Astyanax mexicanus: one gene and its partners. The main gene of each other region encodes a partner of the protein of the gene in region 2 in a complex. Links are inferred from orthologs where the notes say so. Each region holds a gene or a part of one and is shown on either strand. Other genes may lie near its edges.

Region 1 (10,460 bases), on a different chromosome or scaffold from region 2:
AGTCTGAGAGAGAGAGAGAAAGTACAGTAGGTCATGCTGTTCCAACATCAGCAACCAGAGTCTGAGAGAGAGTACAGTAGGTCATGCTGTTCCTACGTCAACAGCCGGAGTCTGAGAGAGAGAGTACAGTAGGTCATGCTGTTCCTACGTCAACAGCCAGAGTCTGAGAGAGAGAGTACAGTAGGTCATGCTGTTTCTCCGTCAGCAGCCGGAGTCCGAGAGAGAGAGTACAGTAGGTCATGCTGTTTCTCCATCAGTAGCCGGAGTCAGAGAGAGAGAGTACAGTAGGTCATGCTGTTCCTCCATCAGCAGCCGGAGTCTGAGAGAGAGAGTACAGTAGGTCATGCTGTTCCTAAGTCAGCAGCCGGAGTCTGAGAGAGAGAGTACAGTAGGTCATGCTGTTTCTCCGTCAGCAGCCAGAGTCCGAGAGAGAGAGTACAGTAGGTCATGCTGTTTCTCCATCAGTAGCCGGAGTCAGAGAGAGAGAGTACAGTAGGTCATGCTGTTCCTCCATCAGCAGCTGGAGTCTGAGAGAGAGAGTACAGTAGGTCATGCTGTTTCTCCATCAGTAGCCGGAGTCTGAGAGAGAGAGTACAGTAGGTCATGCTGTTCCTCCATCAGCAGCCGGAGTGTGAGAGAGAGAGTACAGTAGGTCATGCTGTTCCTCCATCAGTAGCTGGAGTCAGAGAGAGAGAGTACAGTAGGTCATGCTGTTCCTCCATCAGCAGCTGGAGTCTGAGAGAGAGAGTACAGTAGGTCATGCTGTTTCTCCATCAGTAGCCGGAGTCTGAGAGAGAGTACAGTAGGTCATGCTGTTTCTCCATCAGCAGCCGGAGTCCAAGAGAGAGAGTACAGTAGGTCATGCTGTTTCTCCATCAGCAGCCGGAGTCCAAGAGAGAGAGTACAGTAGGTCATGCTGTTTCTCCGTCAGCAGCTGAAGTCTAAGAGACAGAGTACAGTAGGTCATGCTGTTTCTCCGTCAACAGCTGAAGTCTAAGAGACAGAGAAAGTACTCCATCAGCAGCCGGAGTCTGAGAGAGAGTGAGGGAGTACTGTAGATGTAGCAGCCGAGTCCAAGAGTGTACAGTAGGTCATGTTGTTTCTCTCTGGGTGGGTACAGTAGGTGGCACTCTCTCCGCTCATCACTCCCATTGTGATCCTGTTCAGTGCAGGTGTCTGTAAGCTGATGTATCAGACCTGGGGATCCGCTGCTTTCCTCCATGATCACAGTGCTGCTGCCTAGTGCTTTTTGTAACATTTTGATTGGCAGCAGAAAAAGACAAAGGTGTGCACTCACATCACCCTCCTATTATCAGAGGCATTCCTAGTAGGGGGTAAATATAAACAGAAATTAGGGCATTGGCCTTCCAAATTGGGGAAAAAAATAATACAATTAGAAATACATGTAAAAAAGACAAAGGTCTTTTTTTTTTTACCCGACTGTAGATAGTCACCTCTTTACCCTCAATCGTTTTTGTTCATATATTTAATATTTAGAGTTGACTGAATGGATATTTCTGCTGCAGGTATACAATAAAAAAATAATAAATCTGATTAATTTCCTGTATTTTCAGTGGTGTCTGCGCTGAATAAGGCATGGTGCATCGGCTGCTTCACCTGCTCCACCTGCAGCACTAAACTCACCCTTAAGTAAGTTCCCTTTAAACCTTGTTTACTGAGGACACTGCGTGTTTAACCCTTTAACATCCTCACCACCATAACTTCATTAAAATTAAGAATTTATTATTTAGTAATTCCTTTTTTCTCAATGACTGTGTAATTACAGTCCTATCACAGTGTCCTTTATTAGTACAGTAGTACCCTCACTCCAGTGTACTTTAAAGATATCCTGATGGAAAGGGAAGTAATGTTAAAGTGGAATCATCAATGTTCCAAACACCTGCAGTGGACTGCACTAGAGTCCACTTAAAAAAATAAACCAAGGTCACTGATTTCAGGAAGACCAGACTGCTTCCTGCTTCATAGCAGTTTTCACATTGCACCAAACTAAACCAAACTCACAAAAATAAGAAAAAAAGAACTACAAGGACCAGTGAAAAAAAGCTAATGTGAAAATACCACTCTTACAGTAGAGAATGTCAGTACTCAGGATGCACAGGTTTACTAGATTAATGAGCATAAATACATGATGTAATTATATCCAATAGAGTGATTTGTGAGTGATTTGGGTTTTTATCAGGGAGAAGTTTGTGGAGCTGGATCTGAAACCGGTGTGTAAACAGTGCTATGAAAGAATGCCGGAGGAGCTGAAGCGCAGACTGGCCAAGCGTGAACACGACTCCAAGGAGCGAAAGAGGAAGATGGGTATCTGTCTGTGATCTTCGCCAGCAGTTGGTTAGTGTTCTGCGTTCTCTTCATTTTTTCACTGTGTTTATCATCTATTACACTTTCAATAATCAAATTTTTCTTTTTTTTTTTTTCAGAAATGTTGCAGTTCTATGAGGAAAGTGCAGAAATTTGATGATGTGTACTGTAGTATTTTCTAGTATTTGTTATAAATATTCAATGATTTTATCCTATATTGTACATAAATACTGAAGTCATCCAGACCAAGAAGGAACACATACTCAATCATATAGTAACTTTAAAGTGTTAAACAAACCCAAAATATTCTGCAATACCCAGATACCCTGGTGGGTTCTTATATGGGGTGCTGTTAACTAACTGTGGTTTCTAAGGCTGGTAACTCTGTTGAACTTATCTTGTGCAACACTGGTAACTCTTGCCCTTCTTTTTTGGGGGATTTTCTGATGAGAGCCAGTTTCATCATTAGGTTTATGATGAATTTTTATAAAGCTGGCTGAGAAAATGCTAAGATGGAAAAAGCTGTCATCTAAGCAAAAGGTGATACTTTGAACATTACCTGGTTTGTTTAATATTTTTGTTTACTAAATAATTCTATATGTGTTTCTTCATAGTTTGAATGACTTTAATATTAATCTTTATTGCAGAACATTTTAAAATAATGAAAAAACACTGAATTTAAGGTGTGTCCAAAATGTCACTGTATGAAATGTACACATGCATTGACAAGTTTTAAACCAGCATACAGTGTTATGCATACAGAGTTGGCACCCCTGATCATTTTCATGATTTCCTTTATAAATCACTGGTTGTTCAGATCGGCAATTTCAGTGAAATATATCAGATGATATTGTAATATCTGACAAGTTTATTGGATTTACAGAAAGTGTTCAATAATTCTGTAAACAGAAAAATTGGGCAGGTGCATACATTTGGGCACCCTTGTTGTTTTATTAATTTAAATACCTTTAGCACTAATTCGTTCTCAAAATAGTTTAAGCTCATTGTCTCTTGACCTACATACACAGGTGAATCTATTTATGAGAAAGGTTTAGGTGGCCAATTGCAAGTTTTTTTTTCTTTTTGCATCTTCTCTAAAGAGTGGAAACATGGAAGCCTCAAAACAAAACTCTAAAATTAGCTGAAAACAAAGATTGTTCAACATCATGGTTTAGAGGAAGGATACAAAAAGCTCAGATCTCAGAGATTTCAGCTGTCAGTTTCCACTGTGAGGATCATAGTGAGGAAATGGAAGACCACAGACACAATTCTAGTTAAGACCCCAAGTGGCGGACCAAGAAAAATCTCAGATAATCAGAGGAGAAGGATGATGAGAACAGTCATAGTCAACCCACAGATCAGCTCCAAAGACCTACAACATCATCTTGCTGCAGATGGAGTCACTGTGCAACATTCAGCTATTTAGAGCACTTTACACAAGGAGTGGCTGTATGGAAGAGTAATTAATGCAGAAGAAGCATTTTCTGAGCACACGCCACAAACAGAGTCACTTGAGGTATGCTAAATCACATTTGGACAAGCCAGCTTCATTTTGGAATAAGGTGCTGTGGACTGATGAATCATGATAATTATCAGGGATGCCCAAACTTTGCAATACCAATGTAACCAGGATTTTAATGTTTTAATATTGTTTGACTTTAATCATAATTTTTAGATTATCTTATAACTTTGTGAAAATTCTAAAAACATTTGGAGATGTGGTTAATCAATTAAAAACAATACAAAACAAAAATCCAAGCCTAACACTGTCCCTAGATCTGTGGTGTGATTACTGTAGCTTTAAGTTAGATTCTCACTGAGTGCATTTACATGCTTTTCATAATACAGATAAAAACTCATCAGACAATAATCAGATTTTTGTTGCAGCCAGACAATAATCTCACAGAATAAGACGTGATAAAAACATTGCGTAAAACATGAACTTCACACTGCAATATGGTCATGAACAGCTAGAAAATGAAGATTATTTAACCTGCAGTTTCAGGGTGTCTCACAAAGTATTTGGTTGGGATCTCACAGGTGCTGTGTTAAACTCGCTTATTTCCACCCTGTTTTCACTCATGCACATCCCAGAATACTCCGGTTAGCCCACTGTAGCATGATTTTTTTCATATTTATTGGGAACAAATATTGTAGCCTGTTGATATATCCATTAAAAAATAACTGCACAATGTTGCACTGAGACAAAAATAAAAAAACCCTGTTTTAGTATGCAAATGAAAATAAACTAGCCACAATAATGACAAAGACATTAAAAGGAAAATTCAATTATCAAAAATATTCTTTGGTGCCTAAAAGCCAATCCATGCCATAGAGGGTATGACTTCATACTCAGTATGAAGTCAGTGTAAACTCAGTTTATATTACTACTTCATTTATACAGCATATTAATTTAGCATATATTGTGGAATGTATTGTTATTGTATTGCTATGAGGTGCACTGATTTGCCTCAGCTTCTCTTTGGATTGTATATGTTATTTGTTTGGAGTTTATTTAGTATTCACTGCCTATTGCTTGAAATGAAAATAATTTAAATAAAATGAATGTATACCAAAAAAAATACTCGAGATTCCTGACATCAGAGTTTCACGCCTCCACTCTGTTCACACCACACCTATTATTAATACCAGTTATAAATTAATAATAAAAAAAGAATACCCTACTTATAATACAATTTGTATAGCCAGTATGTACATATATTTATATCTTTATAAATATCTGCAGTGTTTAAAAAAGCACCAGCAGCACTGCTGCATCTAATCAACTTGTAGCAAAACAAACACCATCACCTCACACACCACTACCATGCATATAGACAGTGTATAGGCTGTATAAAGGACAGTGTGGACAAACTGTAGATGACAGTGTGTATATATATCATATAAAAGACAGTGTGTATAGACTGTATAAAGCACAGTGTATATAGACTGTTGAGGACAGTGTGTATAGACTGTATAAAGGACAGTGTGTATATACTGTGTATAGGAGAGTGTGTATATACTGTATAAAGGACAGTGTGTATATACTGTGTGAAGTAGAGTGTATATATTGTGGAAAGAACAGTGTGTATATACCGTATAAAGGACAGCGTAGGTAATATACTGTAAAACACTGGAGCTCCTGTTCTCCATGCAGCACGCTTGCACTGACGGCAAACACGCAGCTTTCATTCTATTGGCTGCGACTCTAGAGGCGGGACGTTCGTCCTCAATCCTCATAGGCTGAATGGTTTGTTGGGAGGCGTGATAGGATTGTGTGATGCGGACGGAAATCTCGCGATAAGGTAAACGAGAGCGGCCATATTTGACAGGTTCGGGGAAGAGCGCGGTCCCGGCGAGTGTTCAAACAGAGCGGTGTATTAACGGAGTAACAGCGGAACAACAGCGAAACACAGATCACCCGCCACCCCAGAGACAGATTCAGACATGAGGCGGAGTAAAGCCGACGTGGAGCGCTACATCTCCTCCGTAGAGAGCCTCTCCCCCGCCCGCACACAGGTACCAACCGCCCGCCAGCGCTAGCATTAGCATTAGCATTACCAGGGCCGGCTCCAGCAAAAGCAGCTCTGTGTAGAGAAGACCCCCCCCCCTCTTTCTTAAGTTCATTTAGTTATGGGCTTTTAGTGTTTGTGGCACTTTAACGCTCACACGCCCCCCCCCAGCCCCCCCCCCCCCCAGTAATAATAATGATAATAATAATCATAATAATCATCATCATCATTATCGTCAGCTACAATGCAAGATCACAGTTAAGATATTTTATTTTAAGAATTTATAAGAATTGAATACTAACAATACAGCGTTATGCAAATACAATACATAACGCTACCATACTGTTTAATCAACGTTAATTCAACGAATTCTGATGTCGGAGTTTAACGTTACATTAATGCATTAGAGATCGAAAGTGAGCGAGCTCGTTGAGCGTTAAATAGCTAACTAACCTAACGCTAGGTAGCGTCAGTTAACTAGGGTAACTGTCTGTGTTCTGAGAGTAGAAGAGCACCAACCAGCCAAAGCCTTTAAATGATGGTTTATTCAGTGTCAGAATTTTAACAACTAAAGTTTTTTTTCCATAATCAACATTAAAATGTATTAAAGTAGCTTGTATTCAGTGTTTTCTTCTATCAGTACGTTTCTACTGAATCCAGCGCTATTTAGTTTTCCTTCAGACTTGGTCAGTTTAAAGTTTAATGTGTAGAACTGCGGAATTGAATTTGACCGAGCTCCAGCTGTAGATCAGGGTGTGTATCAGCCGCAGTGTGTGAGGGCAGCGCGGGGCTGGAGCTGAAGGCCTGCGCGTGTCAGAGTCGCCGGTATTAGCTATGCTATGCTAGGCTAGGCTAGGCTAGCGGTCCCTCAGTGAGAACAGTCGGTACACTGCGGGCTTTTAGCTGTTCACTGTGAATGTGAACCGGGTTATAAACACCAGATTAATAAACCCCGTATCTCTTCGTTAATAATTTATACCGCATTATCCACACCTCCCTGCTGTACAGTCGCAGTTACCCGGCTATTAGCATTAGCGCTGACTGTAGGAAAGCGCGGTAAACGGGCGGGAGGTTCTAAAGATCAAGTTAAACTCTCTCTCTCTACACTGATTTATTTTACATGTACTAAACGTTAATTCCACATTTCCGTACAAATCTCACAAGTCTGATAATTGTAATAAATCCTTACTGGTGCTGATGCTAATTCACCATATCTAAACCGGCCTTGACTGGCTGAGAGATGCAGTTCACATGTCTGAACAGTATCAGAGCTAAAGTACAACTATCTTTTAAAGAAATAGTAAGATTACTGTTATTAATGCCTAAAACTAGTCGTATTATTCGTCAGAATTAGTCTATATAACGTTATATCTGAAAATACAGTTTCTGTAAGCTTTGTAAGTATGTTTTATATTGTCTTTATTCTTGTGTGGTATGATGTTTTTGTCCCCAATATGTCAGTGAGCAATTTAAGTATTATTATTATTATTATTATTATTATTATTATAATTATGATTATTAATAATTAATCATTTTAAAAACATAATTATACAATTACACCCTTTTACATAACAGGAAACTTTTTATGTGTATAAATATGTAGATATTAGTCAAGTAAGTTAGACAGGGAATTTAAAAATGGTTTAAAATCCTACCTTAATATAAAGACTCCAGATAAATTTCACTGTAGCTGTGAGATCATGTTCGATGTACAGTGGTGCTTTAAAGTTTGTGAACCCTTTAGAATTTTCTAGATTCTTACATTTGAGAGTGAAATTAGTGTCGGCTGTTTTCAGTGATAATGGACGGAGCAAGGTTATAATAGTTTTGAAATTTTCATTCTAGATTCTTTTTTTTTTTTTTTTTCCACTTTTTCTCCTTCAATTCAGTTAGTTTTAATTAGTTTTTAGAGTTGGTGTGCCAGTTTTTATTATTTTATTTTCTTTATTATTGCTTAGTTTTAGTTAACGTTAGTTTTTATTAATTCTAGCATTTGTTTTTTTTTTCATACTTTTGTGAGGATCAGGATTCAAAAAGATATTATGAAAAAAAAAACTCAACAAAAGAAACAAAAACAAAAAAATCAGTTACTGTGAAACAACTAACTGTCCCCAAAAACTGCTTAAAATAGCCAAAAGAACACACATGAACATGACACGCACATCACATCAGAGAGCTCAACTTGAGAAACCCAGAAACAAACTCAGAAACCCAATAAACTATACAGGTTTTACTCATTTTCACCAAAATTATCAAGTCAGAAATTAAATTGAAATGGACACCTGGCACTAGATACAGCTAAGATAAAACTTTTTACTATATTAGTGCAGAACTAACTATACTGTAGCTCACATATATAACATCAGAAAGTGATCACAGCTGTCTGAAATACAGTTTATTTAGTGTGTGTGAGTTAGAGAATGTGTGTGTATGTAAGAGAGATAGAAAGAGTGAGAAAGAGACATATTTATCAGTTCATCTTCCAGCTTGAGTTGTTCTGGTGTATGAGCTACTCAGAGTAAGGCTGGTAAAGGTACTCACAGTTAGGGCTCTTATGCTGCTTCTCAAATAGACTTACAGCTGTGTGATGTTTATTCCGCATACGGTATCTGCTGTTTTAAATACAGAATAGAGGTGTGCCATATCGTATCGTACACGATAATATCGCTAACATTTTTGAATACAGTGTACAATATTTTATCCTGAAATATCGTGCCCTAATTATCACATCAGGGTACTATTTTTTTGGCTGTTTTAAGCAAAAGAAAATTCCTATTATATATCTACTAGAGACATATTATATCTGTTCAATATCACTTATTTTACTTTAATCCTGGATAAATGGAGATATTTGGAGTGCATTATTATTAGTAGTATCATGACATTCTGAATCATTGACTTCTGTTACAAATCTGCTAGAATTCTTTTTTTTTTTTTTAATATCTTAGTTAGAGGTGTGCATGTCATATCATATACAATGATAAAATGTAAGTTTTGTTTTGCTGCAGTAGTTTATTTTTATCATATCACCTATAGTATCGTTATCGCGATAATGCCATGAAATATTGTGATATTATTTTAGGGCCATATTGCCCACCCCTACTACAGAACACATTTATCTTCGTTGTGCTCATATTTTAATCCCATACAGAATTCTGCAGTTTTCTGTCTTTATTTCACAGTTAGATGGCAACTGTAAACAGAAGTGACGCCACTGACTGTGAGGTGCAACGTGTTGCCACCCACTGTAAAACTGCTTGAGTGGAAACAGCGCTTATAAATAAACAAACACATGAAAACTAAGTGTATCCTAACTAAAACCTTTTTTTTTTTCTATTGGTTTCAGTTAATAAAAATTATTTTTCACTTTCAGCGAAAGTAACAAAATTACTTCTGAGCAACTAAAGGCCCCAATTCTCCCACTGCTTAATACTGATATTCTTGAGTCTACCATCAGAAGAACACTGAACTACTGTGGTTGACATGGTACAGAACGTTAATGGTTAGAAATGTTACATTTAGTAAAAGGAAAACAAGGTGTTGCATCTGTGGAACACGTTGGTAGTAGTATTACGGTTTGGGTTTGAGTTTTGCTGCATCTGGGTCAGGGTGGTTTCCCTAATTGGTAAAACAATGCTGAAGAAAAATATCAGGACGTTTAGGCTTAACAACAATCTGTTTTACACAAACATTTTATGTTGGCGTATAGGTGTGGACAATATTAGTATTGTATATAGTTTTGTGATAATTTATTTCCATGATACACATTTTACACATTTACTTTTATAAAGAATCAGAGCGCTGACCATATGCAAGTGAGAAATGATCACAGATTTTTTGTATTATTACTGTGTTTTTAAAATGTGCTGGAAAAAAAATCATTTTAATTGCTTGACAGCACTAAAATATGATAATCATTTTGTATTATAGTCTAGATATTTTATAAATAAAAGTTTATAAGTTAAAGAAAAGGAGAAAAATATATTTTAGGGTCTGTCAGAGAATTCAAATCAAATAATTTGTATAGCGCTTTTTAAGTTTAAGTTTAAGGCAATAAATAAATACCACTCATGCACTAATATTCATAGTAAGCAGCATTTAAGTATTTGTGAAATCTGACATAGTCTAGCAAGTTTTAACAGGTTTCCAGACCCTCTTAGATGTCTGCAAAATAAAAGCAGTTTTTGTGAGTGGAACTCAAAGTATATTTGAGGTTCTACATAGTGGACAGGTTTAAAAACTATGAGTCTGGGGTTTCCTACAGGTGTGCTATCTGTGTTATACTGTGTATTTGCAGTCAGGCCTGCCATGCTTAGTTGACATAAATGACAAGATTTAGATTATAAAAAAATAGTTTACTTCAAATGTCAGGGTGGAGTACTGGTTAATCTGTAACAGCACCTCCCAACACAGTGCTGGGGACAAACACAGTAACAGGTAATGAGCCTACTTACTCAGTACACAGTCTGTGTCTCAAAAAAAGGGCTTAAACGCAACATATTCACGTACATATTTACTCAGTTAAACATGGGATTTAAAAGCCCAGATATTTACTGTTTCTATTGTTTTTAAGTGATTAAGAATGTTAGGAATAGGAGCCAATAAGGAGGCAGAAACAATCAC
Region 2 (10,533 bases):
GGGGTGTGATTACTTTCGCACAGCCTGGTTGTCGTGGTTCAGTGGGGGGGCGTGGTTCGTGTGATTGGTTTGAGGAGTGTTAGGGGATAAACCCTACAGGATGCAGTTTCAGTCTGTGTCCAGCGGGAGGCGCTTTCCTCACATTCATCATTGGTTTGGGCTGAGGGTCTTGCAGCTATGCAACAATTTCAGATTAAAATACGTTAAATTTTACACTTCTAACTATTTTAGAAGGTGAAAATTTTAAAATTGGCTTTGTCACAATCGATTTTACCGTGTTAGAATTCATTTCACAACGCTTGAATTGGTTTTAGCATGTTAATATTGATTTTATAATGGTAGGATTCATAGCAGAGGGTTAAAATCAATTTTAACCTGTTTAAAGGGATTTAAGCATGGGCCTATGGATTTCAAAATGTCAGGATTTTAGTTTTTAAAAATCTTTTTTTTTCTAAAAAGAAGTAAAATAAACACTTTATGTTAAAATTGATTTAGCAGGTTAGACACGAGTTTGCATTTGGTTTTAGCATGTTAGAAATAATTTTAAAATACTCTAATAAAACTCTTATCAATATCAAATCTTCTAATTGATTATAGTATAACAAACATTTTTGGAATTGGTTTCAGAATGCTGTAATTGATTTTAAACCGCTTGGATAGATTTTTGAATGGATCGAATGTTAGAATCAATTTTAACATAAATATTTTAGGATTAATTTTAGAATGCTAGGACTGATTTTGGACTGATAGGTTTGATTTTAGAATATTAGTACAGATTTCTGAATGGTAGAATTGGCATGATATTTTATTTGCTTCTATTTTAGAACTGATTTTAGAATGTTGCAGTCGATTTTAGCATGCTAGAATCAATTCTGTCATATTAGGAACTCTTTTAGAATTCATTTCTGAATGTTTAAGGATAAAGTTTCAGGTGTAGAATGTTAGATTCAGCTTTATACCAATTAGATTTTCTCACTTTGAATGTTGTAACTAATTTAAAAAGTGTACTTTTATAAAAATGACTGAAATCATGCACTACTTGTACTGTTTACAATTTGCTTAATCCATTTTAGTATTCCTCTTTTGTTCTCTTTTCTTTGTTTTCTCTTATTTTCAGACTGACTTAAGCATCATACATTCATACAAATGAAGAATTGAATCAAATTAAATGTTAATTTTTGATTAATCACTGTTAGTTAATTCATGGTTGTTTTAAAATTAGCTGAAGTGAACGCAGCTTTCTGGACGTTCACAGGCCCCTCAGCATAAACCAATATGAATCCAGGAGGACTGGGTTCAGTACCGGGTGCAGGGTACTTGGCGGGGTACTATGCGGGGTACTGGGACGCGTGTGTTGTGTGATTTGTCCGTGGAAAATGATGTCAGCACTTTAGTGACCTCACCGTTTTTTGGGTGCAGGTTGGCGAAATCTACCTGTGAGGTAACAGACGGGCAAACCTTCCAGGCCATGTGCTCCAGCGCAGACAATCAGAGGAGGAACGTGCACTAATGTTCTAGCAGAAGTATTAGCATTGTTAGCTAGCTAGCTAAGCCACTGCAAACTTTCCAGCTTGGCTTGATTTCTGCGTGCCTGAGCTAATGCGGGTTTAAGAAGCGTCTACTGGGGTCATTTTTTTGGCTGAATGGGGAATCAGTTGTCTGAAGTTAGTCTCCAGTATCGCTTAACGACTAGCTTTCGGTACCGACCGCTAGTGCTAACGTACTCTTGCAAAAATCCAGTGGCGGTATATAAGCATGGACGCCTTGGCGCCTTTTCGGACTCGGAACGTATTAATTTGGTAGCCTTGCCCCTTTCTCCCAGACCATGCCCAAGCATACTGTAGTCTCAGACTGCCTTCATTGAGTTTACAAAACACACAAGCGGAGGAGGAACGTGCACTAACGTTCTAGTAGAAGTATTAGCATTGTTAGCTAGCTAGCTAAGCCATTGCAAACCTTCTAGCTTGGCTTGATTTCTGCGTGCCTGAGCTGATGCAGGTTCTGCAAGTGTCTATTTGGGTCGTTTCTGAATGGGGAATCAGTTGTTTGAAGTTAGTCTCCTGTATCGCTTAACGACTAGCTTTCGGTACCGACCGCTAGTGCTAACGTACTGTTGCAAAAATCCAGTGGCGGTATATAAGCATGGACGCCTTGGCGCCTTTTCGGACTTGGAACGTACTCATTTGGTAGCCATGCCCCTTCTCACAGACCATGCCAGTAGCTTAGCAAGCTAGCTAACTAACTTAGCTAGCTAGCTAGCTAAGCTACTGCAAACTTTCCTGAGCTAATGCAGGTTCTCCAAGCGTCTATTTTGGTTGTATTTTAACTGAATGCTGAGCGAGTTCTTTGAAGTTAAGCTCTTGTATCGTTTTATGACTAGCTTTTGGTACTGACCGCTAGCGCTAATGACTAGCTTTTGGTACCGACCGCTAGCAATAACGTACTGTTGCAAAATTCCAGTGACGGTATATAAGCATGGACGCCTTGGCTCCATTCCCCTCCGAACTCGGAACCTACTCATTTGGTAGCCCTGCCCCTTCTCTCAGACCATGCCCGTAGCTTAGCAAGCTAGCTAACTAACTTAGCTAGCTAGCTAAGCTACTGCAAATTTTCCTGAGCTAATGCAGGTTCTCCAAGCATCTATTTTGGTCGTATTTTGACTGAATGCTGAACCAGTTGTTTGAAGTTAAGCTCTTGTATCGATTTATAACTAGCTTTCGGTACTGACCGCTAGCGTTAACATACTGTTGGAAAATTCCAACATACAGTAATGTTCTTGGAGAAGTATTAGCATATTAGCATAACTTTCCGGCTTTGCTTGTTTCTACAAAGCTAATGCAGGTTCTGCTAGTGTCTCTTTGTGCAAGTTGTTTAAAGTTAGCCTACTGTATCCCTGTACAACCTGCTTTGGGTACCAACAGCTAATGCTAACGTTATGCTAATGCTAATGCTATGTCCGCCATGTTGACAAATTTGCAACCAGAGTCTCTGCCCTTATTCCAGACTAATCTCAAGTGTCTCAGACCGCCTGCATTGAGTTTACAGTGTAGCCTAAAGTACCAGAAGCAGTTTATCCTTTAAGCTAACAACTTTTGGTTAGTAGAATGTTTTCTGAACGTTACATTTAGCGTTCTTAGAATGTTATTTTCTGGATGTTTCTAGAATCTTTTTATTTATTGCTTTGAACTTTCTGTAACGTCATCGAGTTAACGACACTTCAAAGCGTCCAGTTTTTATTTAGTTTTAACTTTTAACATTTCCCTAATGTTGGTATACGTCTAGTTGGGAATGCTATGTGAGAAGCGGTCTAATAACGTTTTAATGCAAACCATTGTTACGTCACAAGTTTTCAGAATGTTCTTGGAACGTCATTTCCGTAACGTTACAGGTTAACATTTCTGGTACCTTTTCAAAAGGTTGCTAAACATTCTTTTAACATTTTCTAACATTAGCTGGATGCTCCCTATAATAAAGGTGATTGGTCTGTTCTAGACAAGGCTGCCGCCTGTCAATCACTTGATGATGTAGCCCCGCCTACTTGTTGCAATATAGAAGAATAACACTGTTGGAATTGTTGGATACTGGAGAGAAAAAGACAGTTTAGAATAGAGAAATTTGATGTGAGATGGGAAATGGGCGGGGCTTTTTTATGTAATTAAAACATATGGGAATGGTTGGAGCTACCCGTCATTCTGCAACCAGCCAGCAGAGGCGCTAGACTTGTGGTGGCTTTATGTTTAAGAGACTTTTGAGAGACGTTGCGCTGTCCATGCTTATGTACAGTTACTGTAAAAACCTGCAAGACAATGCTAGTCCACGGGTGTAAAACAGCTAGCTAGCGATATAGCCTATAGGCTAACTAACGTTACGTTACGTTCTAGGCTAACTACCTTTAGCGGCCAGGCTTCTTTCAGTATGGCAATACTGTGTGAATGAGATAATTCAGTACATGTGCTTCAGAGTTTTAAAGTGTGAAACACGTAAGTCCTTTAAAAAAAAAAAACGTTGTTTACGACTTCAGACGACACTTTAGACTTTAAACGTGAAATACCACCGACTACATCCTGATACGACTAAATCATTCACATTTTATCAGCCAATCGATTTCCTCCACCAACGACAGATTCTGGTTTGGGTTGAAGTTGTGTAGTTCAAGTGATTTAATTCCTTTTCAAATGCAATACTGAAAAAAAAAACTGCTTTCTAATAAAAGTCCTTATTTCACCAAAAACGTTTCCTGTGTTGTTTATTATTACGAAATGTAGGGTATTAAAAGGGTCATTTTTTATCTTTTTTCAACTTCTGTTACTGGCACTCACTCCTGTTACTGGAACTCACTCCTGTTACTTGCACTCACTCCTGTTACTGGAACGCATTCCTGTTACTGGCACTCACTCCTGTTACTGGAACTCACTCCTGTTACTGGAACGCATTCCTGTTACTGGCACTCACTCCTGTTACTGGAACGCACTACTGTTACTGGCACCCACTCCTGTTACTGGAACGCATTCCTGTTACTGGCACTCACTCCTGTTACTGGAACGCACTACTGTTACTGGCACCCACTCCTGTTACTGGCACTCACTCCTGTTACTGGCACTCACTACTGTTACTGGCACTCAGTCCTGTTACTTATGTTTTAAGTAACAGGACTGAAAGTAACAGGAATGAGATTTTAGCCTAGAATTATAGCCAATAGCGTAAGCACACTGAGCACATTCTAGTGATTTTTTCCAAAATTTCTATTTAAAAAAATAAACCAATAAGATGTAAGAATTAATTTAGGTAACAGGACTGAGTGTTGAGATTGAGCTCCTCAGTCATCGTTACAATAAGATCAAATATACAGAAAAACTAATGAGGGAACTTCGGGAATTTTATTCTTCAGAAGAACCAACTTCCTATTGTAGATGTCACTTCCTGTTGTAGATGTGACTTCCTGTTGTAGAATGTTCCAGATGTTTCAGATGATCAGGGTAATGTGTTACAGTAACAGGACTGAGTGAAACCACAACACAGTGACACAACTAAAATGTGTATTTTAACCTTAAAATAATGAATTTATTATGAAAATATATTTTTAAGCATAGATGGGATTTAGAGTCACACAACAATGCAAAAAAATACATCTCTGAATGATTTTAATAATTATATTTCATGGTAAAGTTTATAGTTAGAGAGTGGGGTAACAGGTATAAAATGCTATTTTTATTCATTGTTCTAAGTAGTTTTTATTAATGTTTTTAATTACATATCTTACTTTTGCAATTAGGCCAGTGTACAATAATAAAATGTATTTTAAAGTTATTTTGTGTGCACATTTATACATGTAATTTCGTGAAGACAGAAATGGCACAGATTCAGTGGAATATGCCAAAAAAAAATTATTTTGCTTTTGTTGGAGTAACTGCATCTACTGTCCAGGGAACACTTTTTTTTACTAGATGTTGGATTTACATTGCTTTGAGAATGTATAATGCTTTATTGTTAGTTTATAGGAATAGAACTGTGGCTAATGACTCCAGCAGATCTGAATATAACAGCATATCTAAATGAATAGAGCCAGAAGGTAACATAGACACAGAGGCACCTTGAAACACTGGCATTTACCCACTCCACCAACCACAAATCTAAGATACTTATAACTAATTAAAGCTATAAAATATTAAGCCAGTTTACTTGTTATGAACAAGCTGATATTTTAAGTAATTGGAAGAATATCAATTACAGTAACTACAAAAGTTAGAAACAAATATTATGATTATTATAATTGTTATAATTATAAGGGCCATTAAATTCAGTATATAAGTTATTAATAAGAATTAATGGTTTAAAAGAATAAAATAAGCTAAGAATAAGATATGCTGAGAGTTTAAATTGATTCATTTGTGCACACTCAACATTGATTCAATTTGTTATGTTTATCTTCTTTTTTATGTGTGTTGTGTGTTATGTATTGTTTATATTCTTGTTTGTGTTCTTGAAGTGAACATTTAATAATAATAATAATAATAATAATAATAATAATAATACAATGTTTTTCCATCCTAAATATTAAAAGATTTAATGCGAGTAAAATGTAACGTTTCTAGAAAAATTAAACAAATGATTAAAAAAATAAATACAAATCTTCAACATGTCTAGTATAACTTTGAGGACTTTTATTTTGTATATATGAAGGCTTTTGTCTTGTAAGCAGTAGTTATATTCACTACTGAAATAAAGTCACTTTTTAATCATATTTTTAATAATTGAGATGCATTAATAGCTTCCATTAAAAAAACACAGTGCTAATGAAGCTTTTATTATGAAGAAAGGAAACTGTATCAGATGATAGGGGACTTCTATTGTATAATGCCCGCTTTTAGCGGATGAGTGAGGACTTTTATTGTGTAATGTCCGCGTTTATGCGTCGTTAGAGGACTTTTATTGTGTAATGTCCGCTTTTATCTAGCGATAGAGGACTTTTATTGTGTATTGTGAGCGCTGTCGCAGTTGTGTGTGTTCGCATGGCTGCAGTGTGTGTAGTGTAGAAATGAGGAGCTGATAATTCTATTTTTACAGAGAGAAATATCTGTAATTCTATAATAATCCAGTAGATCCTGTAGATCCTGTAGATCCGGGTACTGCGGGCTGCTCTACTGAACGGCGGGAATATGGGGGATGATCAGTACCCGATCCCCGAGCGGGATATGAAGGTAAAGTTACAGCGCGCGCACAGCTAACAGCTAATGCTAATCCAGCTAAATACTGTATAAACTACTGTGAACTACAACTTTTATAGCTTATGTCTGATATTAATAAAGTGTATTAATTATTATTAAACTGGTGAAAATCCCCTGGAGCTCATATATGTACTATTTACTATTATAATCTCTCTAATTTAAACTGAAACAAACTGAGCTAGCCTAGCCTAGTTTAGCTAGTTAGCTTAACTTATACCTAAATATCAGTTCTTATTAATCGTATAAATCTGAAATAAACATTTATCAATGTTTTTATCACTAGTTTCTGTTAAAAACTACACTGATACTGTATTACTAGTTAAACGTCTAACTAACATTTATTATTTATTAATAATAGTAACGCACTTTCAAACGTTAGCTAACTTAGCTAACGCTAAGTAGTTACACATGAAGTTGTCACAATGTTGTCAACTTTCTTACAGCGTTGTTTTAACGTTATGTAGATGTTGCACTGCAACAATATTGTCTGAATGTTAAATTGTCTATTTTAGCAACAACGTTGTCCAAATGTTGCACTCTTAGACAACAGTGAAAAAAATGTTTCACTTATTTTTTTGCAGCAATGTTTTCTAAATGTTGAGTTGTTTATTTTTAGCAAAAACATCTGTCTAAATGATTAACTGTTTGTTTTAGGAACAATGTTGTCCAGATGTTGCACTCTTTCAACGTTGTCTAAATGTTAAGTTGTTAAGTTGTTTTTAGCAAAAATGTTGTCTTAATGTGGAACGGTTTAGGTTTTCAGCAACAACGTTGTTTAAATGTTGCACAGATTTTTTTGTAGCAATATTATAGAAACGTTGAAGTGTTTGACTAATCAGCAACGTTGTCTGAATGTTTCATCAATGTTGTCTAAACGTGCAACATCTAAATGTTGCATTGTTAATGTTTTATTAGACTCATAACTCCTGTAAACTACAGTGTACTACAGCTTCTGTCTGAGATTAATAAAGTATATTAATCATTATTAAACTGGTTAAAATCTTCTGGAGCTCATATACCTGTATTTACTATTATAATCTCTCTAATTTTAACTAAAAAAAACTGAGCTAGCCTAGCCTGCTATATATATATATATATATATATATATATATATATATATATATATATATATATATATATATATATACACACAGAGTTAGCTAAGCTAGTTAGCTAAACGTTTAGTTAAATATCAGCTCTTTTTAATAACAAAATTACTGATGTTTTCTACTCTAGTTTCTGTTAAAAACTACACTAATAACGTTTTCTAAACGTCCTTTAAGAATATAGTTTACGCTAGCTTACTTGCTAGTTGTCACAACGTTGTTTAGTTTCTTACTGCTAAGTTTCAACATTGTCTATAAGTTTCACTTTCTGTTCTTATACACAACGTTTTCTAAATGCTTAGCGGTTTATTTTATCAGCGTTTTCTTAGTGCATCACTGTTTATTTAATCAAAAACATTGTCTGAATATTGAACTGTTGTTTAAGCAACGTTTTCTTCATGTTGAACTAACGCTAAGTAGTGAGCCAGCAAAAACATGTTTTCTCAATATTGTCAGCTTTCTAACACAGTCGTTTTATTATGTTGAATCAATTATTTTTTGGCAACGTTTGTCTAAATGTGGAACAGTTTATGCTTAAGTAACAACGTTGTCCAAATGTTGCACTCTGTTTTAGCAATTTTGTCTAAATGTTGAGTTCTTTATTTTTAGTAACAACATTTGTCTTAATGTTTAACTGTTTGTTTTAGAAACAATGTCATCCAGATGTTGCACTCTTTTATCAATGTTGTCTAAATGTTGAGTTGTTCATTTTTAGCAACAGTTTAAATCTTGCACAGATTTTTTTTTGCAGCAATATTACCTAAATGTTGAACTATTGTCTGAATGTTCCACACTGTTTTATCAGTGTTGTCTAAATGTTGCACTCAACATATTTAGATGTTGTTGGGACAAATGTTGCAATTTTTTTTTCAGTGTATTAGTTGTGTGTCATTTTGTAAACTTATTACCGTTATTCAATATTTATTGCATTTTACCTAGGTTTGTGCTATTAACAATTACAACTTTACAACAGCATCAATGTTTCTTACCATTTAGACTTTATTACTGACTTTTAACAGATTTCTAAATGTTTTACCTCAATAGCCTAGTTTTCTTGCTGTTCTTTTATTTTGCATTTTTTTAAATAAAAATTTAAATCAGAAAACTACTCTACATCTCTTCATGGCTGTCTCTCTCTCTCTCTTTCTCTTTCTCTTTCTCTCTCTCTATTAGCATGAATGTAGTTACATACATTATTGCCAAATCAATTAATAATACAAGTAACAGACAAAAAAAATACTAATAATAATAACAAAAATAAAATACATAACTAAATCTAAAGATTAGAGAGAAAAAAACCCAGTAATATTAAAAAGGTTGGGTTATTAATAAAGAAAATAAGTAAAAGTAGTCATAAAAGCATGTTAAAGTTAGATTAATAAAACATTAAATTAAATTAATAAATAAGTTAATTAATCTCTATTTCTGTAACAGGATTTTCAGTTTCGTCAGATGAAGAAGATCCGGGTGTTTGATTCTCCTGATGATCTGCAGAAGGAGCGCTCTGGTCTTCTGGCGATCTCTAATAAGTTCGGCGTGACGTTTGTGGGTCTGGACAGAACTCTGAAGGTTTATCTGACTCGGGAAATCATCGCCGCCGCGAAAGTGGATGGAAACATTAATGAAATCGGTAAGAACTGATCGGTTTTACTAGATTGAATTATCTATCTGCAGCCTGAGGAGCCATCTTCAGTTCTAATGGCTGGAGAAAGGTTTTAAGATTTTGCGCCCTGTTTTAGCGGTCTATAGCGAGCAAGCGTGTCATTGTGTCTTTGCTATCGTAACGACGGGAAAAGTACACCTTGCGCGGCTTGACATGCACAATTATCACACTATAAGGCCCACTCAAAATCATTTAATTTCTCCAAAAAACGTCAGAGTGCCTTATTATCCGGTGCTCCTCATGTATGAATTCTACCAGTCAGGTATTAAGGAGCAGTAAAGACACTCCACTGAAGTAATTAGTTCTCCAGCACTGGGGCTGGAGCAGTATTAGCATTAGCTGCTAACCACGCTAGCTTTTTTGCCGTTCACAGGCAAATATTATCAGCCTGTAGCCTGCTGCTAACCATGGCTAGCACTGCTGGAGCAGCATTAGCATTACCTGCTAACTGCATTAGCTCTTTTGGTTAGCTGCTAATGCTTCAGCTTTAGTGCTGGAGAAGTTTGGGAACCTTAGCTTACTGTAAATAAACAGAAGAGCTTTAATCACCCAAATAAACAGTTTTCAGGAGAGAAATCTGTGTAGATTAACATCCAGTGCTCATTAAACTTTAAAATTAAGTCTTTTTTATTACAGATTTGTTTACTTAGCTTAGCTTTACTTAATATTGTTACCTACTGAATTAGTGCTTCCTTATTGTGTCTCTTAAAATGGGCCCTATAGTGCGAAGAATACAGTACTAAGTATTTCAATTGATCATGGGTGTGGTTAATTTTGGGGCTTAAAGTGTCTCTTGCTCATCATTCCCTTTAAGAGAGTCAAGTGAGCTCTGACTTTGGTGGATTGCTATTTTAACGGTGCAGCTACCTGGACGTGTCCAACAAACTCTTCTCAGCAGAGGAAACTGAGCTGCTGGTTGACTCTGTGAAGGAGCTCCAGCAGCTCATTTACGGGAACAGCAATGTTATTTTATTTACTATTCTGTTTATTGTTGATGTAAAAGTTGTGTTTGTGTACTGTTACAGTGTTGCAAAGATAG
Region 3 (10,333 bases), on a different chromosome or scaffold from region 2:
CACATACAATAATAGTGTAGAGCAAGGGCAGTTTTAAAAGCTTCTTTCCGAGTTTCAATTTATTTGCACTTAATATTTGTCAGTTTAAATCAAACATTGGTAGCACTAACTCTTTCTTTTAGCTTTGCAGCAAAATATGGAACGTCAGTCTTCTAAATTCACTTAAGCATATAGTTATAAGGAAGAAGACGAGTGAGTGGAACAAGTGTATAAGGGAACAAATTACATGTTAGATTAACATCACTGGAGTTTAAGAAAGAGAGCCAGGATGCGTTATGATCTTGTAAAAAAAACTCTATTTTTCCTTTCAGATGTGGTACATCAGTCACACTCCTCAACAGCTGTTTCAGCCCAGCAGGCAGATGGTTTCATTCAGGCAGTTTATAGGTCCAGCAAAACTATCAGTGTTTGACAGTAAAAAGGGGGGCAGTTCTGTACGCTCTAAAACTAGAGCACTGTCTTATTATCATTTAGTCCCTCATCTCTCAATCCCATGCAAACATCCTGAGATTAGTGCATGTGGGGCAGTCAGGCAGGCTTTTTATCTGGACGCAAACTGCTGTTATGTAAGTTTCTGTGAATTAATATTCCCTCTGACTCAGCCTGTTCCCTGATCTAAATCACACAGCTAAATGGCTGCTGTGACAGAGCTGCCATGGTGACTCAGGGGATTGTGGCTCTGTTGATGGCCATCTTGGCAACAGGACCAATCTGATTTACTTTTTCTCTCTCTCTCTCTCTCTCTCTCGCACACACTCACACTCTCACATACACACACACCCACACACTTTGAACTGATGCTACTCAACGTCATAGCTGCTGTCATGGATTTTAGGCCTGCATCTGCCTGTTTTGACCTAATCCATGTGTATGAGTTTTCTCATAAATCCTATGTGTGTGTGGCCTGTTTCCTCTCTGCAGGGGCCTGGCACCTCAGAACAAGCCCGAGCTGCAGAAAGTGATGGAGAAGAGGAAGAGAGACCAGGTGCTGAAAGCTCAGAAGGAAGAGCAGGAAGCTCATAAGAAGCAATCAGATTTGGAAATTGAGCTCATGAAGAGACAACAAAAACTTGAACAGGTACATACACGCCAGATCACTGGAACAAACTGTTTTACTTTATCCTTTATGTTACAGTGTTATAAATGAGTATAAATCAAAAATGTTCTTGCGTCAATTCTACAGGCAGTCTGACATTCCAGCATACTGCATGGAGATCTACCACTAGTCTACTACTAAACTTTTAAACTACAAATAGATCTTGGCAAAACAAATACACTTTTGCGTTCCCATGAGCACACAAGTGTACACCTCATTTAATATCCCATGACTTTATGCATTTCAGTGTACATTCTGTTGCTATTTTAAAGAACCTTGTATCTCAAAATTTGTAGGTTTTTCATGATAAATAATCCAATAAAAATGTTTAAAAATTATTTTAGAAAGACTTCCATTTTTTTTCTTTTTCTCATTTAAAGTTGCCATTTTTGGAGTTTTATTGTGACAGCAGTGCAGAGTGTGTCTGGATTGTCGGGTGTCACAGTCTAGTGAAAGTTCTTAGCGCTCTTATTGAAGTAGTACAGTAGATGGGGTTACTTCCTGGGTGAACCCCTTTTTCCACAATGCATAACACAAACTACAACCAAGAAACCCAACATGCAGATGTTCAGACTGTAAAACATCTTTCTGTGTATTTGTGTCTGTAGCTGGAGTTGGAGCAGCAGAAGAATGAGGAGGAGCAGGAGAACACCCCGGAATTTGTTAAAATGAAGAGCAATCTAAGAAGAACCAAGCAGGAGGTGGACGAACAGGAGCGCACCACCTAGACACACTATGGGGGGTTTAAACGAGTCCATGGCACATGAAAGCATGGCAACCGGACTGCAGATTTGTGGGGATTCCCTGGTGTTCCTGCTCCCTGTGTTCCTGTGAAAACCGTGAATGGTTCCTATTGCCGACCTGCAGACACGACCAGTATTCACTTACCCTAACCCCTAAACACCGGCAGCAAACAGAGGGATTGAAATGAAAAATGCGCACTCAGACACAAAGGCACAGTCTCCCCGTCACTGGCTGGTTGGCTGGATGGCGGGCTTTGGTGGACTTACATGGCAGGACGGACAGAACACACGCAGAGTTTTTCCAATTCGTTTTCTATCTCTCTCTTTCTTTAGCTTATCTTTATTTTTATTTTTTCTGCTGTTTCTTGTTTTCTTTTTTAACTTATTTTCAGAAATTCAAGTTTAGAGGGACACTGGATGGACTTGTGCAAGCCTAAATAAGTGTTTGTTTTTTTCAGTTTTGCCTTGGAATGATGCTGATGATGAGGGGTTTTATGAGGACTTTATACCCTCCTTTTGGTTGATGATCAGAAAAAAAGAAAGAAAAAAATATGAATATGGATTCTCAACAGTTCAACCTTTGGCTGTGATGTACAGATGTTTGCTTTATTTTGTTGTTTTAATCTTCATATCTGTGCACTCCTTCTAAGCTACATCTATTTTAAGCAATACTAGAACTAGGTTGGTGTGTTTTTGAATATTTTTGTTTTTCTTTTTTTACAAATAAATTTGTTATAAATACAGTTTAGTTGCAATGGTGTAGAACACTGTGTTGAGGCACTCTTGTATTTTTTTCCACACCTGAGTAGTAATTGTTGAGTGCAATCAGGAAGGTCTAGGAAAGAAATGCATTTTTTGTTAGTTCAGTATTGAAGACTCACAGTCTAATGTATAGATTTGAGCCAATGCCCAACCACTCGTGCTCCCTTTAATTCAGAAAAACTTCTTTTAATAAATATTATTTTGTCATGTTGATGATGTGATGTTTGTCTTATTTCCACCCACTCAGATCATTCACAAAGACCTGAATATAAACAGTAAAACCTAAACAGAGGCTGGAGTCCAGTACATGTACTGATACAAATCTGTCAGGTAACCATAATTCTGCATCACGTAAAGCATTCAGCCAACATAAAGCCACTTTCAACAGTAGAGTAAGTCTTAAATTGCCCTTACAGCCTTCAAAACTGAGGCCAGGCAGCAGCACCACAGGTAAGGGAGCCGGGGGGGAATGACTACACCTTGATGGTAAGTAAAAGTGGGGAAAGACATACCCAGTATGCAAATAGAGTTAAAGGAAAAGGTTTATTGTCTCATCAAGGTTGCACCATCAAAATATAAGACAGTCTTAAGGTGACCATATGTAACTACAACAATTTGGCAACTGCAGTCAGTATAGCTCTATTGAATCAGCTCAGTTAACTTTGTGTATTGTGTATCTCAACCGTTCTTTTTATCAGCTTAAGCGGTACCAAATTTCTCATTTGTGTTAACTTTAATAATTTAAGTAATTAAAAAGGACAATTATATGTCATGTATAGAAGCCCAGCAGTGAGTAGCTTAGGACCACAAGCCGGTGAGCAACATCTTAGTACTTTAACTGCTGAGCCAGTACTGCAGAAGAAGTAGACCTTTGGACACTAAACATGTCTCGTGAACAGAAGAGAAATGTTTAACTTGTAGTTGCTAAACCTTCCTTTTGGATGCTTGTCAAAAAGTGCTTTTTAAATACCCTAGGTGGCACCATTGTGTAAGTTCCACAGTGCTGCAATCAGAGACGATACCCACTTCAGAATCCATCTAATGTTCTTTTGATTATTAGACTACTTAAGTAAATATGCCTTATCCAACTCTTCCATAAAGATGTAAATATGAAGGTTAAAAAATGTTCCCTTTCAATGATGTAAAATTTTAATACATCTATTGTTTATGGCTTTATCTTCTCAATGCTTCTTTTTACTGCATTCTTCAGTTTCACTTTCACAGAAACGAGTCTTGTTAATGCACTTACTTTGACACATAAATGAAACTTGGCTGGATTAATTAATGGTGTTCATAATATACAGTACCAGTCAAAAGTTTGGACACACCTCTTTTCATTCAATGTGTTTATTATTATTTTTTTACATTGTAAATTTAATATTGAAAACATTACAGCTAGTATATTTATACTTCTAGATTATGGATTCTTCTAAGTAGCACATTTATCTTTGAGGACAGATCTGCACACTTTGTATTTTACTCTCACGTCTTTATGAGGGAGAGTCACCTGGAATAGTTTTCTCAGTGTCTTGAAGGAGTTTTTGGAAGTGCTGAACAATAGTTGCTGCTTTTTACCCATCTCACTGTTTTGATGTCTGTAATATTAATCAACAATGTAGAAAATTAATTAAAGAAAAACATTGAATGAGAAGGTGTGTTCAAACGTTTGGCTGGTACTGTATTGATATGTATTTACTTATCTTAGGTCTATGGCTTATTTAAAGTACAGATCTTTTAAGTATTAAACCTTTATGGCATGTATAATATATTTCATATGTTATATGGGAGCTTGAGAGTCCTAAACAATTTTATTTATTTTGTCTTTTATAATAAACATATCATTTGCATCAGATGTTTTAGAGCAAGAATACAAAAACATTTAAAGTTATTTATATATTATATGTTATTTATAACATACATAACCCTTTCAAACCCTGCGTGCATAACAATAGACATCCAATATTTTATTTTTTTGTAGACCTGTTGTCCATCAAAATAGACCATTAATCAGCCAAAGAAAAGGTTTACAACCCAATGAAACAGCAGCCCCGCCCACTGCACTGGAAAAAACACCGCAACCCAGACATTAGGGATTGGCAGCACTAGAGCCAGTGAAAAAGTATGATAAACTAATTTTAACAGATTTTATGTCATTTACATAACTTTTTATCATGTTTATTGCACTGTTTGGAGATTGTGTGTGAAATATTAAAGGCATGGTGTACTAACCAAAAATTGGGTAACACAATAAGGGTACCTAAATTAACAGTACTTATGACGGAATGCCTCAAACAATTATTATCTGACACTAGTTAAGACATTACTCATCATTACATTTTTTTAAATAATTATTAATAATTATTTTAAAAATAAGCAATACATTTTAAATAATTTAATAATGTTTAATAATGTCTTAACTAGTGTCAAATAATAATTAGTTGGGACATAATCATTTATCATTTATAATGCCATAAATACTATTTGTGACCCTACACAAGCCTGTATTCAGAAAAGATTCATATTGGATTCACATCAATGACTCAGTGAGTCAAATAGATGAATCAGTCGTTTAATTTGCTTCGATCTAGCAGAAGCTCAATTTTGTCCAGTAAATTAAACTGTAGTCTGAAGATGAGTGTTTAATATTACATTTATTGGAAACTGAACATGAAGGTGATTAAAATTAATTCAGTTTGAGATTAATTTACAAAATTAACTTCAAAATCCTCTTAAAACTACAAACCGCCATTTCGACACTTGGACTCCCGGTTAATCGCCTGAGAGAAAATCGATTTCGAAAAACTATAATTTGTTTCACACTTATTTTTAAGAAGGTGTAATTGAGCATGTTTAAAAAAGAATAGAGAGTTTAAAGTATAGAACCATCTCCTGCTTGGCACGCAGTGATCCGAAACCGTATATAATTTTCAGTCTGGCGATAAGCCGGGAGGCTGCGGCTGGGCTGGTGGTGGTGGAGCAGACATGGCTGCGCAGATGGCGGTAAATTCAGGTACGGAGCTCATGTGCTGGTTATTCAACACTCCTCAGGGCTGTGTGTGTTTGTAGTTTGTTTATTATAACAGTCTGTAAAGCTGTGGGATCGGTTTAGGGAGATTCATGAGCGACTGAAGCTGCATATGAAGGCAGTTCTGCCTGTTTCTTGAGTTCAGTTTGGTTCCATTACCCGGTGTTGTGTCGAGTTATGCTACCCAGCTATACAAGCCTCCTAAAGAGACTGCGCATGCGTTAACCTACATCTTTTTAATGATTTCTCGTGTGTTTTATAATAATTCTGTTTTTGTTGTGTATTTAACAACCAGTACTCACTGTCACTACACAAGTGTATTTGCAAGTAATAATAATAATAATAATAATAATAATAAAAGATTATAAAAAACACAAGCAAGATTATAAAAAACTCACATTACCATAACTTTACACTGATACAGTGAATTATGCTGTTCAAAAAAAGTAACGTTACATCGACTTCTGCTGTGAACATGTTATAATTTTGTGCCTTTTTGGCATTTTTACGTTTAAATAAGTTATACTAAAAAGGGTAGCACGGTTTTACAGGGTAGCACAACTCGACAGAACACCGGGGTTAGCTGTTAAGCTGTTAAACAGCGCTGTTCTCATAATTATCAGCCTCCTACAGTCAAATAAACACAGTTATTCACCAACACGCCTATTATACTCACCTCTATCCACGTCTAAACTAACAGAATTCCCCGGCTTTTGTTAACAGCAACCCCCTGAATATAGCCTAGATATATCTGGCGGCTGGTTACTAACGCAAGCTTAGCTTGGCTCAGTCTGGTGTAAAAAATACTTTCGCTCTTAGTTAACTAAATAATGCTCAAAGTTCAGAGAACTGAGTCTGCGTCTAACAGCACCCAGATAACTTTTTAAACACCATCATCTGGTTTAATATAACAGGTGATTTTGTTGTGAGCAGGAATCGACAGAACTCTCTGGCCTCAGAATTAAACTAATTGTAGCTAATGCTAATTGTTTTCATTATTCCACTACAGAATAGTTAAATGACCTAGGTTAGCGTTACAGGCCTGCAAATCTGAAACAGTAAGTCCCTAAATATAAGGATGGAAAAATAGTTTTTGGAGAAACCAAAGTACCCTTTCTAAACTAATAGATTATTCAGTTAAAGACGAACATCACTAAAGGGAGAGAATGTTTTAATATAATTTGGAGAAGGGAATTGTTTGTTAAACTGAGGGAAAGGTTTGTTAATTTGATGGAACTGTTTGTTAAATAGAGAGGAACAGTTTGTTAAATTGAAGAAACTGTAGAATTGAATGTAAGGTTTGTAGAATTGAGGCAACTGTTAAATTAAAGAAGCTGTGGTAAATTGAAGAAACCGTTTGTTAAACTCACAAACTAAGGGAACAGTTTGTTAAATTGAAGAAACTGTGTATAATTAAGGGAAAGTTTGTTAAATTGAAGTAACTTTTTTTAAATTGAGGGAACAGTTTTTGGTAAATTGAGGCAACTGTTAAATTAAAGAAATGGTTTAAATTGAGGGGACTTTTTGTTAAATTGAGGGAACTGTTTGTTAATTTGAGAACTTTTTGTTAAATTGAGGGAACCGTTTGTTAAATTGAGGGAACTGTTTGTTAATTTGAGAACTTTTTGTTAAATTGAGGGAACCGTTTGTTAAATTGAGGGAACTGTTTGTTAATTTGAGAACTTTTTGTTAAATTGAGGGAACCGTTTGTTAAATTGAGGGAACTGTTTGTTAATTTGAGAACTTTTTGTTAAATTGAGGGAACTGTTTGTTAATTTGAGGGAACAGTTTGTAAATTGAAGGAATTGTTAAATTGAGGGAACGGTTTGTTAAATTGAGGGAATGATTTGTTAAATTGAGGGAACTGTTTGCTAAATGGAGGAAACTGTGTTTAATTGAGGAAACTGTTTGTTAAATTGAAGGAATTGTTAAATTGAGGGAACAGTTTGTTAAATTGAAGGAATTGTTAAATTGAGGGAACGATTTGTTAAATTGAGGGAACAATTTGTTAAATTGAGGAAACTGTTTGTTAAACTGAAGGAACTGTTAAATTAAAGGAACAGTTTATTAAATTGAAGGAATTGTTTGTTAATTTAAAGAAACTGTAAAATTGAGGGAATGTTTTTAAATTAAAGAAACAGTTTGTTAAATTGAGGTAATAAACTGCTAAATTGAGAGAACAGACAGATAGATTATGAGAGAAAAATGAAAAAATATTTAGTAGCTTCAGGAAATGCTTGATGTCTACTAATGTTTTTACAGTAATTTTAACAAAGTTATTGGGCAGTTGGTTACCTTTCTTAGATTCTAGCAGACTGACTAGAAGAGTGTGTGTATGTTGTGTGATTTATATAATGCATGAATTATGCCATAGTATATGTAATGCAGAATTTTGTTTAGTATAAAGCAGTTAAAGGCCTTGACTTGATAAGGCACACATTCCCAAAGTGTATTTCTGTAATTCTTTATTAGTCCACTATTTAGTAATCTTTTTTTAAGTCATATAGGATTATTGTTTTTGTTTTTTATTTATTCATCTGCTAAATAAATACCTGTAGAATTTGTAACAGTATACACTTTGTTTAGCTCTGTGAAGTTGTGCTTGCTATGCCTATTGTGTATTAGAGACCTTTCTTTTGTGGTATTCTTACAGTATAACTGAGAAAGTGTTGTTACATGTTGGTTTACGGCTTGTGTGGATGTATTTCCTGTGCAGGAGCCAGTCTGTGGGGTCCACTGAAAGAGTTATGGGAGACTGTGGAGGGCTCAATATGGAGGAAACAACCAGAAAGTGTTCATCTTCTGGATTTGCAGTTGAAAAAAAACAAGCCCTACTTTCTGTCTTTGTTCAAAAACCCGGTACAGTACAGTGTTGAAGATTTTCCCTTAGGCTGTGTTTAGTTCCTAGGCCTGATCTGTTTTATGAATTTATTGTATTAAACCCTTTCAATGACCTATTAATATATGTTTTTATAGTCAGCTATCTGTAGGGATGTTGTTGCATAAACACATGTAATTAATTTAACTATTTGTGGACATATTTTCTTTTGGAAATAGCCAAAAAGTGCAGAGCAGAGAGAGAAAGTGAGGAAAGCCAGCACAGAGGGAATTTCTATTCAGGGCCAGCAGGGCTCACGACTTCTCCCTGAGCAGCTGCTTACAGAGGCGTTTATCCTCAGTGATCTCTTCGACATTGGAGAGCTTGCAGCACTTGAACTGTTGCTTGCAGGTAAACCAAAACACACAACCATGTATGCAAACACACAGAAGCTAAATGCAAATCCAAATTTTGTCCATTTGGCTTGCATGGTGCTAATTAATAGGCTATATATACGTATATGTATTTGTTATTGGTTGTCTGTTTATTTGATATTTTTAATGGAGAAGAATGAATATTAAGCTACAGTTCATATTTGACATGATTTGAAAGGTAAGATTAATTACTATTCTTCTTCGCAGGAGAGCATCAGCAGCCTCATTTTCCCGGTTTGACAAGGGGTTTGGTGGCTGTTCTGCTGTACTGGGATGGCAAGCGCTGTGTGGCCAACTCTCTGCGCTCTCTCATCCAGTCACGTCATGGCAAAACTTTCACTCTCGACCTTGGGTATGGGGCCTGTTTATAAATATACCTTAAAATAAATATATGTAGATATATACCTTGGCACTTTGTTTATTTCTGATACTTGCTTTTTGTATGTTGTATGAACATGTGTGTGAATTCTTTACATATTTATTTGTATGTATGTTTTTGTTCCTCATAGTGCGGATTTGGTTAGTCTCACCACACGCTTTACAGATGAGCTGATGGCTCAGGGATTGGCCAAACAAATCCTGAACCTTGTGTCAGATATTAATGTCACACGGGAGTTTGAGAGGCTGCAGAAGGAGCGAGGACTTGGCAACGAGAAACATAGGAAAGAGGTTAGGGCTGTTAATTCATTAAGCAGTTTTTTTTAGCAGATGGGACTTGAAAAGGAAACTATATTCTACAGCATAACTACAGCCTGAGAATCAGACCCTAAATATTTAGATTTAGGCACAATTGGGTTCCTTTTTTGTATGTGGTGGTGGTAGTAGTAGTATGTGTAGTTGCCATATCAAAAATGTAGACTAGGAGTAGGAGGGAACTCTCTTTAAGTGTTGCTGAAACGTTTAATCAGTTTGTTGCTTCATTATTGTCTTCTACAGGTGTCTGACCTCATCAAAGAGTGCAGACAGTCGCTAGCTGAGTGTCTGTTTTCATGGACGTGTCAGTCACCCCTTAACAAAGATGATATGCTTGCCCTGATTGGTCATCTGGAAACAGTCACAGCAGAAGCTGATGGCTCACTAGATAGTGTGAACCTTGCACTGGTCATGGCATTGCTGTACTGCCTGGATGTCAGTTTTCTGGAGCAAGGGACAGAAGACCGAGACGGTACGTCATTGTTCTGTGCATACAGTGGCAGTGAAATTGGGCTTTTAACTCTTGAAGCCTTGTATGTAGTGTCATACTTTGTTTACTCGCATAATTATATTATTGTCATAATTTACAAATGCTATATAGGCACTAAAATAGAACCTTGTGGGATGCCACAAAATATGCAAAACTTAAAAGGCAACCAAGTAATTTGGGTAATCTGGGTACTGTTTGTTATTCCTAAAAATATGTTCTGTAGGGACATTATTCACTTGGTGAAAATTTCAGTTAAAGTAACACATTTCCTA

What was found.
Region 1: nup214 (region 2) and ranbp2 share a complex: the UniProt entries of both Homo sapiens proteins name them as parts of the nuclear pore complex. The link is inferred for Astyanax mexicanus from reciprocal best matches to the Homo sapiens genes NUP214 and RANBP2.
Region 3: nup214 (region 2) and nup205 share a complex: the UniProt entries of both Homo sapiens proteins name them as parts of the nuclear pore complex. The link is inferred for Astyanax mexicanus from reciprocal best matches to the Homo sapiens genes NUP214 and NUP205.

The regions. Positions count from the first base shown.
Region 1 is NC_064418.1:23,984,142-23,994,601, reverse strand, and holds the start of ranbp2 (E3 SUMO-protein ligase RanBP2), read left to right. Parts: upstream 1-5,633; 5' UTR 5,634-5,772; coding exon 5,773-5,844; intron 5,845-10,460. Other genes in the region: LIM and senescent cell antigen-like-containing domain protein 1, read left to right, coding at 1,575-1,650, 2,201-2,339. UniProt on the Homo sapiens protein: E3 SUMO-protein ligase which facilitates SUMO1 and SUMO2 conjugation by UBE2I. Involved in transport factor (Ran-GTP, karyopherin)-mediated protein import via the F-G repeat-containing domain which acts as a docking site for substrates.
Region 2 is NC_064408.1:3,827,339-3,837,871, reverse strand, and holds the start of nup214 (nuclear pore complex protein Nup214), read left to right. Parts: upstream 1-6,476; 5' UTR 6,477-6,656; coding exon 6,657-6,698; intron 6,699-9,265; coding exon 9,266-9,461; intron 9,462-10,533. UniProt on the Homo sapiens protein: Part of the nuclear pore complex. Has a critical role in nucleocytoplasmic transport.
Region 3 is NC_064416.1:18,025,464-18,035,796, forward strand, and holds the start of nup205 (nuclear pore complex protein Nup205), read left to right. Parts: upstream 1-5,506; 5' UTR 5,507-5,583; coding exon 5,584-5,611; intron 5,612-8,342; coding exon 8,343-8,485; intron 8,486-8,683; coding exon 8,684-8,855; intron 8,856-9,085; coding exon 9,086-9,230; intron 9,231-9,387; coding exon 9,388-9,547; intron 9,548-9,814; coding exon 9,815-10,043; intron 10,044-10,333. Other genes in the region: protein FAM107B, read left to right, coding at 922-1,078, 1,705-1,824. UniProt on the Homo sapiens protein: Plays a role in the nuclear pore complex (NPC) assembly and/or maintenance. May anchor NUP62 and other nucleoporins, but not NUP153 and TPR, to the NPC.